3 linked regions of the Neurospora crassa OR74A genome follow. The protein of the gene in region 3 interacts with the protein of the main gene of each other region in a pairwise test. Links are inferred from orthologs where the notes say so. Each region holds a gene or a part of one and is shown on either strand. Other genes may lie near its edges.

The links. The genes of interacting proteins can lie anywhere in the genome.
Region 1: the proteins of scon-2 (region 3) and met-7 interact in a two-hybrid assay, tested with the Saccharomyces cerevisiae proteins (2 studies listed by BioGRID, with this or other methods). The link is inferred for Neurospora crassa OR74A from reciprocal best matches to the Saccharomyces cerevisiae genes MET30 and STR2.
Region 2: the proteins of scon-2 (region 3) and cul-1 interact in binary tests that used the Saccharomyces cerevisiae proteins (3 or more experiments, as listed by UniProt). The link is inferred for Neurospora crassa OR74A from reciprocal best matches to the Saccharomyces cerevisiae genes MET30 and CDC53.

The regions. Positions count from the first base shown.
Region 1 is NC_026507.1:2,514,467-2,518,218, forward strand, and holds the start of met-7 (cystathionine gamma-synthase), read right to left. Parts: upstream 2,574-3,752; 5' UTR 2,222-2,573; coding exon 2,174-2,221; intron 2,098-2,173; coding exon 2,003-2,097; intron 1,913-2,002; coding exon 190-1,912; 3' UTR 1-189. Other genes in the region: NCU02429 (hypothetical protein), read right to left, coding at 3,566-3,752. UniProt on the Saccharomyces cerevisiae protein: Catalyzes the formation of L-cystathionine from O-succinyl-L-homoserine (OSHS) and L-cysteine, via a gamma-replacement reaction. In the absence of thiol, catalyzes gamma-elimination to form 2-oxobutanoate, succinate and ammonia.
Region 2 is NC_026504.1:5,762,290-5,766,041, forward strand, and holds the start of cul-1 (Cullin 1), read right to left. Parts: upstream 2,402-3,752; 5' UTR 1,770-2,401; coding exon 1,699-1,769; intron 1,629-1,698; coding exon 1,559-1,628; intron 1,499-1,558; coding exon 1,482-1,498; intron 1,418-1,481; coding exon 1,326-1,417; intron 1,262-1,325; coding exon 1-1,261. Other genes in the region: NCU05203 (hypothetical protein), read right to left, coding at 3,383-3,752. UniProt on the Saccharomyces cerevisiae protein: Core component of multiple cullin-RING-based SCF (SKP1-CUL1-F-box) E3 ubiquitin-protein ligase complexes which mediate the ubiquitination and subsequent proteasomal degradation of target proteins.
Region 3 is NC_026503.1:4,897,357-4,901,108, forward strand, and holds the start of scon-2 (sulfur controller-2 protein), read left to right. Parts: upstream 1-897; 5' UTR 898-1,418; intron 1,419-1,656; 5' UTR 1,657-2,368; coding exon 2,369-2,806; intron 2,807-2,892; coding exon 2,893-3,622; intron 3,623-3,682; coding exon 3,683-3,752. UniProt on the Saccharomyces cerevisiae protein: Substrate-recognition component of the SCF(Met30) complex, an E3 ubiquitin ligase complex that mediates the ubiquitination and subsequent proteasomal degradation of target proteins. Negatively regulates sulfur amino acids biosynthesis genes expression.

The sequences.
Region 1 (3,752 bases), on a different chromosome or scaffold from region 3:
GATTTTCTAGGCAGATGGGACCCAGTCGAGTGGTATATAGTTGCCAAAGTGTAGGTATGTATTAGCGGCAAAGGACAAATGTGTGACATGCGAAGAGAACACAAGGTTTGTATCATTTCACTCCTCTTCCTACCACAGACCCATCTTAACATGTTTACATCTGTAAGCATTCGCTACCTGTCCTTACTTTCAAGGATATTGAGATTGTTCCTCGGCAACTTTCAGTGCTCTGGTAAACACATTGATAAGCTCATCTGTTCCCTCCAGCCCGACACTGATCCGTATCAAATTCCTGTCAACACCATACTGCTCAGCCCAGTCAAGCTCCTGATAATGCGCCAGGAGCACATAGGGCGAAGTCAATGTGAAGTTGGTTCCCAAGCTCGGACCCTTGGCCGTTTCGATCGCATCGTAAAAGGCCACAGCCTGCTTCTTCCCTTTGAGGACCACTGAGATAAGGCCACCGTAGCCTCCTTGTGGCAGTTTGACCGCTTCATAGTTGGCCCGTGAATCATTGTACTTGGGGTAGTAGAGAGTCTTGACGAGCGGATGATCTTGGAGGACACGGCAAATGGCTTCGGCATTTGCATTGACTCGGTCTATGCGCGCGACGAAGTCTCTGCTGTTGCGCTCCATGAAAATGACATCCTCGGGCCAGTAGGTGTCCTCCAATTGCTGCTGGACGAAGGATTTCAGGGCTGAATAGTATCGTGAATTAGGGTTAAATATAGCACCGCCACCCATGACGTTGCAGTCGCCGCTAAAAATCTTTGTGAGACTGCTGACAACAATGTCCGCGAACTGGAGGACATTCACATTCGCAAAAGTGCCAATAGTCTCGTCTACAACAACGGCAAATTCGTACTTGTCCGCCAGCTCCCGAATACGGACCAGGTCGGGACAAGTGAGTAAGGGGTTGCCCGGAAATTCACAGAAAAGAGCGAGATACCGCTCTCCGGACTCGAGTCGAGTCTCCAAGTCGTCGAGGTCGGACTTGGAACCGTGGCCGTAGAATAACGCACCAGAAGGGTTGAACTTCTCCAGAATCTTGAGCGTATCGACGTAAGGGAAGCCAAAGTTGACGCTCTTTAGCGGCGTGCTGCCCGGCGGGGTTCGAATGGAATACAGCGCTCTGTGGGCATGAAAAATGGCGTTCATTCCGCATGGGAAGAGATAGATATCTTCCTCGCGAAGATTGGCGATGCCGCGGGTGTTGGAACTCATCTGCTTTTCTGACAGCGAAGGGGAACCTCCAAGGTCATGGTCGGCACTTCGCAGTGCTCCGGCAATTCGTCTCTTGATGGCGGACTTGGCGGGATGGACAAAGGAGAGGTCGAGATTTCTGCCGAAACGCTCTTCTAGAAAACGGGAAGTCTCTTGGATCATCGCAGTCTCTCCGGTAGCCCTGTGGATATGGCCGTGCATTATCGTTTGTTGGTTTCCTCCAGCGTCAAGCGAAGCCTGCCGCTGATAGCGCTTGGGACCGCGACACGGCTTTGCTGCAGAGACAGCCGCATTACGGAGTTCAGTATCAGGACGCAGCAAGCCGTCTTTGAACAAACCGTGGCAGAACTCAGCCCGACGGCTAGAAACGCCATCTCCACTATGCTGCCAGTACTGTTTTGCGAATGGAAAGCCGTCCTGTGGCATGATCACAGCAGAGATGGATGGACAAAGGGGCTCCAGGGCACGCGCCTCGGGATCCGACATATCAAGAACGAGGTTGACGACCTCAATGTTGCTGCAGACATCAGCAGGTGCCCGCGAGCGGATGAAATCAACGCAGCGAGAGGCAATGGTCGGCGTCGGGAAAAGCATGGCTGTGATATCACTAGTTCGCTTGGCCTTGGTACTGACATGCGTGGCCACAATGTCCGCAGCAAAGGCCTGAATGGTCCGATGGATGAAGAAGCTGACACAGGTCGGTCAGTACAACTGTAGTGCTCATCGAGATACTACGACTGTAGTGATCATGATGTCTGGAGGACAGGCGCCCACATACCGAGGATAACCCGTTGCCATGCGTTTAACCACCCAATCCTGGCCCTCCTCATAGCCAACATTGGCACTCCAGGTTGGGAGTGAGACGCTCACGGCCTAGAGACAGCAACTTGAGGTCAGAAAGAGGCATTGTAATGGTGGTAACTGTATGTGCTGGGGAATGGGTGCATACATGAGCGGTCTCCGAGGGTATAGGGTCCCCAAGCTCGAAGGGAGGCATGGTATACGTGACTGAGTGCCAGATGAGTGCGGATAGGTAGTAAGATGAGTGGTGATGCTGCGTGAATGTTATACTTTTGCTTCGCGCGGATGTGAGGACCTTCCCTATTGGTTCCTGGCCTAATAGATGCTGTCTTTCCGTTAGCTGGGTCACAATTACCGCTTAAGATAGTGAGGCAAGGGCAAGCTCCAAGAACATGGCTAACATAAAACTAGGTGTGTCCTTGATAATTTGACCTAACTTATCTCTGCCTCCCTGTTAGTTCTGAGCAAGGGAATGAGTAAAGAGAGATGTTGAGTGAGCAACCAAGTGAGCCAAGTGAGCGAGTTCTGAGACGGAATTTGGTCGCTAAGGAGTGACTCGTCGATGCCGAGTATCGGAGGCTTTCAAGTATCTGTACTTGTGGTTGTATCCAATCAATCACGGAGTTAGATCTAAGCTAGCGGTGACGATCGTTCTTAGTATGTACATAGTACTCTCTCTACTGCCAGTACTGTGTATATCGTATGAAGAATGTTTCTGGCAGAGACGGTCGCATTTGACGTTTCGTTGATAGACTGGTCCTTCTCACGGCCTAAACTATATCTTGCAAGTCTTTTCTATTCTACCGGATACACCTTGCTCTGCAGGAGATTCTTATTGTCCATAACGCTGCATTGTTATATCATGCAGCATACGTTCATACCCTCCGCCTACAAGGTCAATGTATGTAGGTACTTAGGTACCCGGGCCGCGGCGCAAAACCGACATGACGGAATCCCCACAGTCTCCACCCCCTAGAAGATGAGTCTACGCCCCGCCCGAACGCCTACTGTGACCTACACTACACATTGACGCCGTAGATCGGTGACGGAAGATGCAAGGAAGATGAGGGAGTATCTTTCTGTTCTGCCCCTGCCGGCCGTTGCCTGCCGACCAGCCGACTTCCAACCACCCGTCAAACGCGAGGCGCTCCCATGATGAAACAAAGGTACGTCGAGCAGGACTGGATATATATATATATAACATTCTAGCCAACTCGGTTCTGGGCAATGGTAAAAGCCTTTCTATGTTTTACATATCACGGATTGTTCCCTGCGATTTGTCGCAGTGCTGGTTCGCCCGCCCTATTGTCCATTACGAGCATGACTGGCCATGGTCTGCCTATCGCCATACCATTATCTCACATGCCCTACATCTTGGGCATCCATAGACGTAGGGCCGCAGACGATGACCGATACAAGATGAACACAGAAGCTTTTTATTCTATTTTCAGGATATGCTCCCTGTGCGTTGCAAGTCGACACTTATGACATTCTTCTATGCTTAGGTTGTCCATTGTGAACCCACCTGCCGGCGCGCGGCTTAATTGTAGTATGCGCGACCGCTCCTGCGAGTCCCCACGCAGCTGATGCTGTCGCTGGGTACGATACTATCGGCATCTTCTTGGTCCTCTACCTCACTGTCCCACTTTGTGGACTGAACACCCGAGGTGTCGGGCGGTAGCAGAATCTCATGAGGTGTGACGAGCTCGCTCAAGCTACCCGAAGCA
Region 2 (3,752 bases), on a different chromosome or scaffold from region 3:
AACTTGTTGGTGTATTCGAAGCCGCAGGCCTCCTTGAGCTTGGAAATCATCGAGGTCTCGGCATCGTCCGAGTTGGAGTTGCTGTGTACGAGGCGGCGCGCCAGCATGCGTGAGTAGAACTTTTGAAACACGTCCTTGTCCTGGATGTACTTGAACACAGTCATAATCTGCGTCAGCGTGTTCTCGAGCTCCGCCTCCTCCACTCCGGTGCTGCTCTTGCGGAGAAGCACGTCCGTGTACTTGGCCAGCAGTTCCGGTGACTTGTTGGAGCCCGATTTGCAGACCTCGTTCCGGTTCACAAACTCCTTGCACGCGTTGTCTAGAGATCTGGTGAAGTCAGGCTCCTTGTTGAAAGCGCGCTCAACTAACCCCTGGTACTGAGTGTGGATCTCAAGCAGAGCGTCGACGTAGACCTTGGGCTCCAGCTTGTCGGCGTCTGCAGCCACCTTGGCAACAGCCGCCAAACCAGCCTTGCGAACATGGGCCTCGAAACGAGTCCGCAGAGGCTCCAGACCGTCGGGAATGCGAGAAAGGAGGCTGTACATCCGCCTCATGTCGTCCTCTCGGTTGTTGTCCAGCAGGGCCTGGAATTCTTCACGCAACAGGGTAGAGTGCTCCGCGATGAGGGCCTGGTTGCAAGTCCTCTTCAGATGTAGGGCAATATCTGGATGCAGATACATGCGTACGCGCTCCTCCTCCTCAGCCAGGCGAGCCTCGGCCTTCTTCATGTACTCGACAACGCTATTCTCGGCCACGAACTGTTTGCTTTCGTTTTGGTAGAAGACTTTGGTCGCCTCCAGGAACGGCCTTTCAAAGTGGTACCTATACACTTCCAGCGTCGTCTTGGTGTTGTCGCCTTCGTCCATACCGAGTGAGACGAAGCTATCGACCACCTGTTTGATCTGGGTGTACTCGATGGTTTCACCGAGGCGTTGCCTTTCCACTAGCTTGAGAACGGCGTCCATGACTTTCTTAGAGACAGCCTGGAACAACACGTCACGCCACTGAACAAGGTGGAGCGTGTAGACGTCGTAAATGTTCTTTTTCCCTTCATCCATCTCGCGCTTAACCCAGTGTCTATTCAGGTACTTGAAGAGATGGTGGATATACTTGGCGGCGTTGGTGTAGCGTTGCCATTCGCGAATGTAAAAAGCTAACAAGGCCTCGTCCTTGTGAGCCTCCGCTTCGGAGACTAGGTGCTTAAGGTGGTCTGTCAGGTAGTTGGCCAGCTTCTTGTACAAGTCCTCACCAAGCAGATGGGCTGGTGCATGTTAGTCCTCTTGCTCAATCTGTTTAACGGGCAAATGCAGGGAAAGACAACATACCCCCTCTCTGGGCCCCGATTCCCGGAAGGTGATTACTCGGACTGCTGCTACCGCCGTTGGCCTTCTGCGATGTGCAGAAGTTGTGCACCGCCCTATGCCGCAGTTAGTACCATGTTGAAGGAGTGTATAGACAAATAGGGCATCCGTCCAACTAACGTGTAGATTCCCATGTACTACAAACGGCGTGTGTTAGCGGGGGGTAACGTGGACGGATGGGCGAGGAAGAAACATACACTGCTCATGTCGAGGCCTTCTTGGAGGTTGGTCATGATCTTGTTGATACTAGACTGCAAGTATGGCCAACTGATTGGCAGAGGGTCAGTACGGCTGTTTGGAGGCAGAGGGGCCAGCAGCGAAGAGAGCGAAAACATACGTGCTGTCGATACCATCACTGCCAGAAGGCTGCTGCCCGTACGCCCCCATCATCATGGTTGCCGGAGGCATGTTTGTTGTGTCTATGTGTATGTTCGTTTGAAGAGCGATCGTGCGCCGGGAATCGAAGAAAGAATGCGATGTTGGGAATAATATGCCGGCTGACAAGTGGTGGTGGACGAGGGGCGTAATCCGTGAGAAAACTCAAGCTGACCAGGTCGTGTTGGGTCGCGTGTGTTCGTCCAGAGGCTGTCGGGGGGGCAAGAACGAGTTTGATCTGGGCGACCGGTCGTTCTTGAGGTTGGAAGCGCGTTGACTGCGACCGGTGACGAAGGGTAAATGGACTGGGTGGCAGCCAGAGGCGTAGAAGTAGAAGCTCGTCCTGAGCGATGAGGCGCGCCACAGGTCTGGAAGGTCGGATGGATGGCGGGGGTCACCACGTCCTTAGGTCCGTCGGTGTCGGCTGGGAGAAGGACCGTGACCGTGAGCAGACAGACAGACGGGTTGATCGGATATCGGGTCGGGTGAAGAAAGGATTGTTCCCTTGGAGTGACGGGTGTGAGGTCGCAGCCTAGAGGTGAGGTGTAGAGGTAGGTACCTTGGCTGGTTGTTGTTGTTGTTGTTGTTGTTGTTGTGGTGGTGTTCTGACAGGTTTCAATGTTCTGTTCTGAGTGTAGGTAATCAAGTTGAAGAGTGGAGTTTCCAGTTTCCAGATTGGCCCCCCGAGGCTGCTGCTGCTGCTGCTGCTGCCGTGGTCGATGCCCGGATGATAGAGCGATGCCGTCGTTCGTTGACGGTTTTCAGGCTGCAGCGGCGTGGCAGGCATCGATTGACACTGACAGCAAGCAGCATGGAGGCTCCAGAGCAGTGGCCCCCCCGCCAGTAAACGTCCACCGCGAACACGCAAAATTGTGGGGAACCAACCATGGACGGGAAAGTGGCGGGGATGGAGACGACCTATGCCCTGCGATGCGGGACGGGCGACCATCTAGTGTACATTCCGTCATTACCGGTACATCTAACAATGGCGGCTAACAGATCTGATGAAGGTATGTACCTTATATTGATATAATACCATGTTTCTTCTCAATATGAATACAATAACCGGAACTGAAGTAATAAAATATGGGGATGGCACATATGTACAGCTGGCGGGGCATTTTACATACAAGAAAGCAGAACAGTGACAACGATGTAGCTACTTGTAGGTAGAGGTAGGTCAGCCGTTTACAGCCCCTTTAACCGCTAATGTTGTAGAAGGACACCATTGGTGGCCAGAATTCGATTAAACTGCATGTATTTTTCTGCTGGGAGCTCACGGCAGGCAATATGATATCTCCTTACCATGTCAAATCTTTCGCTATCCGTTCCCCTTTTCATGTCTCATAATGCATATACAATCGAGTAATAATCATCACCATCCTTGCTAATATCAACATCACCAACATTACCAACTGATCAAACACTATTTGTTACCGCTGTATGCTAATTTGCTAATCCAAAAACCCCACCCAAAAGAACACAGAGGCAGAACCGTGCTGAGGTATCGACAAAGTACGAGAAAATGCAAGTAAGTATGCTCCCATGCGGGTGGTTGGAGACGTTCGACGTGATTCATCTCCCCCGCTTTGTTTTTCTTTCCCTCTCAATATCCTTCGGGGCTTGACCGCCCATTATAACCGTCATTACCTTCCCCTCTGAGTCTCCAAATCATCTCCGCCTCCCAGCTTTACTACCAGCCTAAACACATTGACCGTAAAGTTGGTCAACCAGAAAAAAAGCCCAAGCAGCTGAAACGCGGCCAGCGCCTGGCTGAAATGGTCCGTGAAGCGATCTTGACTGTTATGATAAACCAACACCTCATATGCCAACGCCGTGCTGGCCGCCTTGAACACGATGAAAAACACATCCATCAGCACCAACCCGCTCTTTTGCGTCACCGGCCTTAGTCCCAATGGGCGGCCCGTGTATTCGTCCCAGAGCATGTACCCGATATAGGGAATCGCTATCGTGTCCACCGCAATCGCCACTATCGCTTGAGTCCGCTCTGACGAC
Region 3 (3,752 bases):
GGAAAGCTTCCATCATGATGAAAACGGAAGCCAGACTTGGTCACCCCGCAAAATTCCCCAGGAAAGCAACCTTGTCGTGGGTCAACATGATGGAAAGAGGCAGAAGATGCTATTCCGAGAACACCGAGGTCGAGATTGAAGCCAGAATGGAAATGTCCGTGCCGCTGACCACGGCCCGGACTGTCTCACGATGTTTATCGGGTGGATATCACGACATGGTGCCTGGATGGGATGTTGACATGCACGGGGGAGACGGGAAGGACGGGATATGTAGATAGCGTCCATTCAAGTTGGGTTAAATGGAGACGACGCTCCACATCAAGCTGTCGTCAACAGTGCGATTGGGATTGTGTGGTCTCTGGGGACTGTGGCCGCAGTGACGTTGATGTCCGTCTTCGGAGTCCTTCCTGTCGACGACATGAAGCCGCTCCAAGGTCAGTCAAGCTGAGACGGTCGAGTGATTCAAGACGACGACGGGAGGCATGCTGTGGTCAGGTTGACAGAGGAAAAGAGAGAAAGTTGATAAAATTCAAAGTCGCCATATTAGAAATCCATGCACTTGGTGGCGAAACAACAGTCTGCTTATTTTGTTTTAATAATCGTGAGACATGTGTCGTGGTGTTGATGCTGAACCTCCAATTAGGGACCTGGCTATGGCACGTGACTGGCACTGGCATCATTGAATTGAGCTACGGAGTCTTGACTGTTAGATACTTGCTGTACTGCTTTGCATAGAGTATAACAGCCAGTACATCCCCGCATTTTACAGTGGGCCCGGTGATGTCGCAATTCTGGCGACAAAGCAACAAAGCGAAAAAAACGAGGATGGGTGACTCCACTCTGTACCTGGGAGCTTCCCGCGCCCCACCCCAGTTGATTTCGCCATTTTGCCCTTCTCTTTGCGATCAAGAGCGACGGCCAATCTTGTCTCTTTCCGTCTGCAACATTTCACAGTCACACACACACAGAGAGAAGGAGCAACGAAGTCAAGACACATCCGATTTCAGGCGGTGTGAAGCAACAGCTGAGGTTCAACACCCCGTTGCGATACTGCCCGAGACTTCCACTTTGCCATTTTGGAAAGAGTGCTCTCTCTAAGGTAGTATACCTCATCCATTCCATCCGTCACCGACAGGCGACAGCCGTTCCAGAGCTGTCACTTACCTGGTATTCGGTTACATACCTACCTCTACGCTACTGTACAAAGAGGGAGCACGGGCACTCGTACCCGACACCTACAGTAGCTTCCTTCAAAGAGCAAGAGAGCAGTCACATACCTACTAGCTGCCCAGACTGAAAGGAAGAGACAGCAAGGCACCGAAAGCCGGAGAGACTAGAAGTTTGAGACATTCCACTTGGACAACAGAAGTGGAACAAGTGAACCTGGAAATAGGTCAGCAGCGGTCATCATCATCACAGTACGTAAACCACCAAAAAAGACCCTTTAAACACTTTGACTCGGATCGATGGCGACCAAGGTGCTGTGCATTGCGTGAGGTGCCACCTTGTCCCGTCCACATCCTCGCTGCTCCCGTCCTAGGTCATCCTCCAACAGACATCGATTCCTCCTTAACGTGATTGCCCTCCAAACTGCAGCTATACTGCGCTGCACCAGATAAGAGTGCACTAACACTTACACCGCACCAATAACAACAGGTCCAACAACGTGCCCACCTCCACGGCAGGGAATCAATCCTTCAACGGTCCCTCTTTCATCTCAGCTGAGCTCTTCCTGATCGCCTCCAGTCCTCCTCCCTCCCCGGGGCTCCATCTCCAATCCTCCGCCAACAACATCCAGATCCCATCACGTGTCCATCCATCCAGAAACATCAAGATCGCCAGTTGGGCTGCCCGGCATCACATCGCTGCTGTTTGTTGTCTGCGGGACCCTGCCTTCCTTCTGCTCCTCCTCCAGCTTCATCTAGACCTGCCCAACGGTGGAGCGAGTCTGGATTCCGCATTAACGAGATTGGACCTTTGAGACGGTAGACCGCCCAAACATCGACCACACCAGGGCATCCATCCATACACCTCACATCAACCAGCCCGATCACGCAAGACCACATACCCTTTCCCGCCCCAGCCTGACCGACGGGAGTACCTACTACTAGTACATACCTTGGACTGGACAGGACTGGACAGGCAGGACAGTAGTGTACAGGACAGCACTGCGATACATACAGCAGCAATCTGCGTCCCCTGGTCAGCACGCCATCCATCGCCCTCTAGCCGACCAATGCTTGGTGTTGCCTCTTCCGCCATTCAACAACAGAACCACGCAACCGCAAACGCACTCTAAATTCCCCCTCAGAACGCACAATCGCAGCGTCATTCTGGGCCCGGCGGTCCTCGACTCCCCCTTCTCCCAATGGATTCCTACCACCTCGCCCCGTCTCGTCCGACTGCGAGCTTCGGACATGATAATGACGCCCCGCTCCAACATGGGCCTCTAGTGAACTCCTACTCTCATCACCATAACAACCACTCGCGCGACACCGACTCCGATCCCACCGACCAAAACTGCGACCGCAAACGACCCGAGCAACAGGCAAGGTTGCGCTCCCGCAACAGCGTCACCAACATGTCGTCCGTCCTCATGAGCAAGACTGTCACGCCTTTCCTTCGGGAACACATTCCCAGCATCTACGCCCCCATCGGCAAGCCGGGGAACCAAGAGACGGCCAGAGCAGAGAACCCCAATTCCAAGTACTGCTATAGACACCACCCCGACTCAAAGTGCCGAAGGGCTGCCGACAAGGCCAAGATGGTCATGATTCAGAGCGAGCTAGACAAGCTCACATCAGCGGTGGGTCTTCATACAAAACATAAACATTGATTGCTTCTTGTCTCCAAGGTTTGGTGGACTGACTGGTACCTTGCTTGAAATAATAGGATCAGCAAGCTGTGACCCACGTGTGGTCCCTGTTCTCGGCCGCCCCTGCCCGACATCGCGACCTGATGCTTCAGGGTATCCTCTCCCAGCTCTGCTTCCCCCAGCTCTCCTTCGTCTCGAGAGAAGTCAACGAAGCCCTCAAGATCGACTTCATCTCCGCCCTCCCCGTCGAGCTCGCCCAAAAGGTCTTATGCTATCTCGACACCGTCAGCTTGACCAAGGCCGCCCAGGTCAGCCAGAGGTGGCGAACCCTGGCCGACTCGGATGCCGTCTGGGTCCGCATGTGCGAGCAACACGTCAACAGGAAGTGCACAAAGTGTGGATGGGGATTGCCCTTGCTGGAACGCAAGAAGCTGCGCAACTACACCAGACAAAGACAGCTGGCCAAGGGTGGGCCACAAGGGAGGGTCACAGAACTGGCCGACTCCCACGACAGCCAGGATCGATCCGTCAATCAACATGGAAAGCGCCCGGCAGCAGAGGCGGAGGAAGAGGACCCCATCAAGAAGCGCCAGTGTATGGCTGCAGCAGAAGCCTCCAAGGCGGTAACGCAACCCAAGACCCGAAGCTGGAAGGCCGTCTACCGGGATCGCTGGCAGGTCAGCTACAACTGGAAAAACAGCCGATACAAGTTGTCGGTTCTCAAGGGTCATGAGAATGGTGTCACATGTCTCCAGCTCGATGATAACATCCTTGCGACTGGATCGTACGACACCACTATCAAGATCTGTATGTGGTCTTGCTTCTTTAAACATTGGTGCTCGCTTTAAACTAACACATTGCTGACAGGGAACATTGAGACTGAGGAGTGCATTCGGACCCTTGTCGGCCATACGGCTGGCATTCGTGCACTACAGTT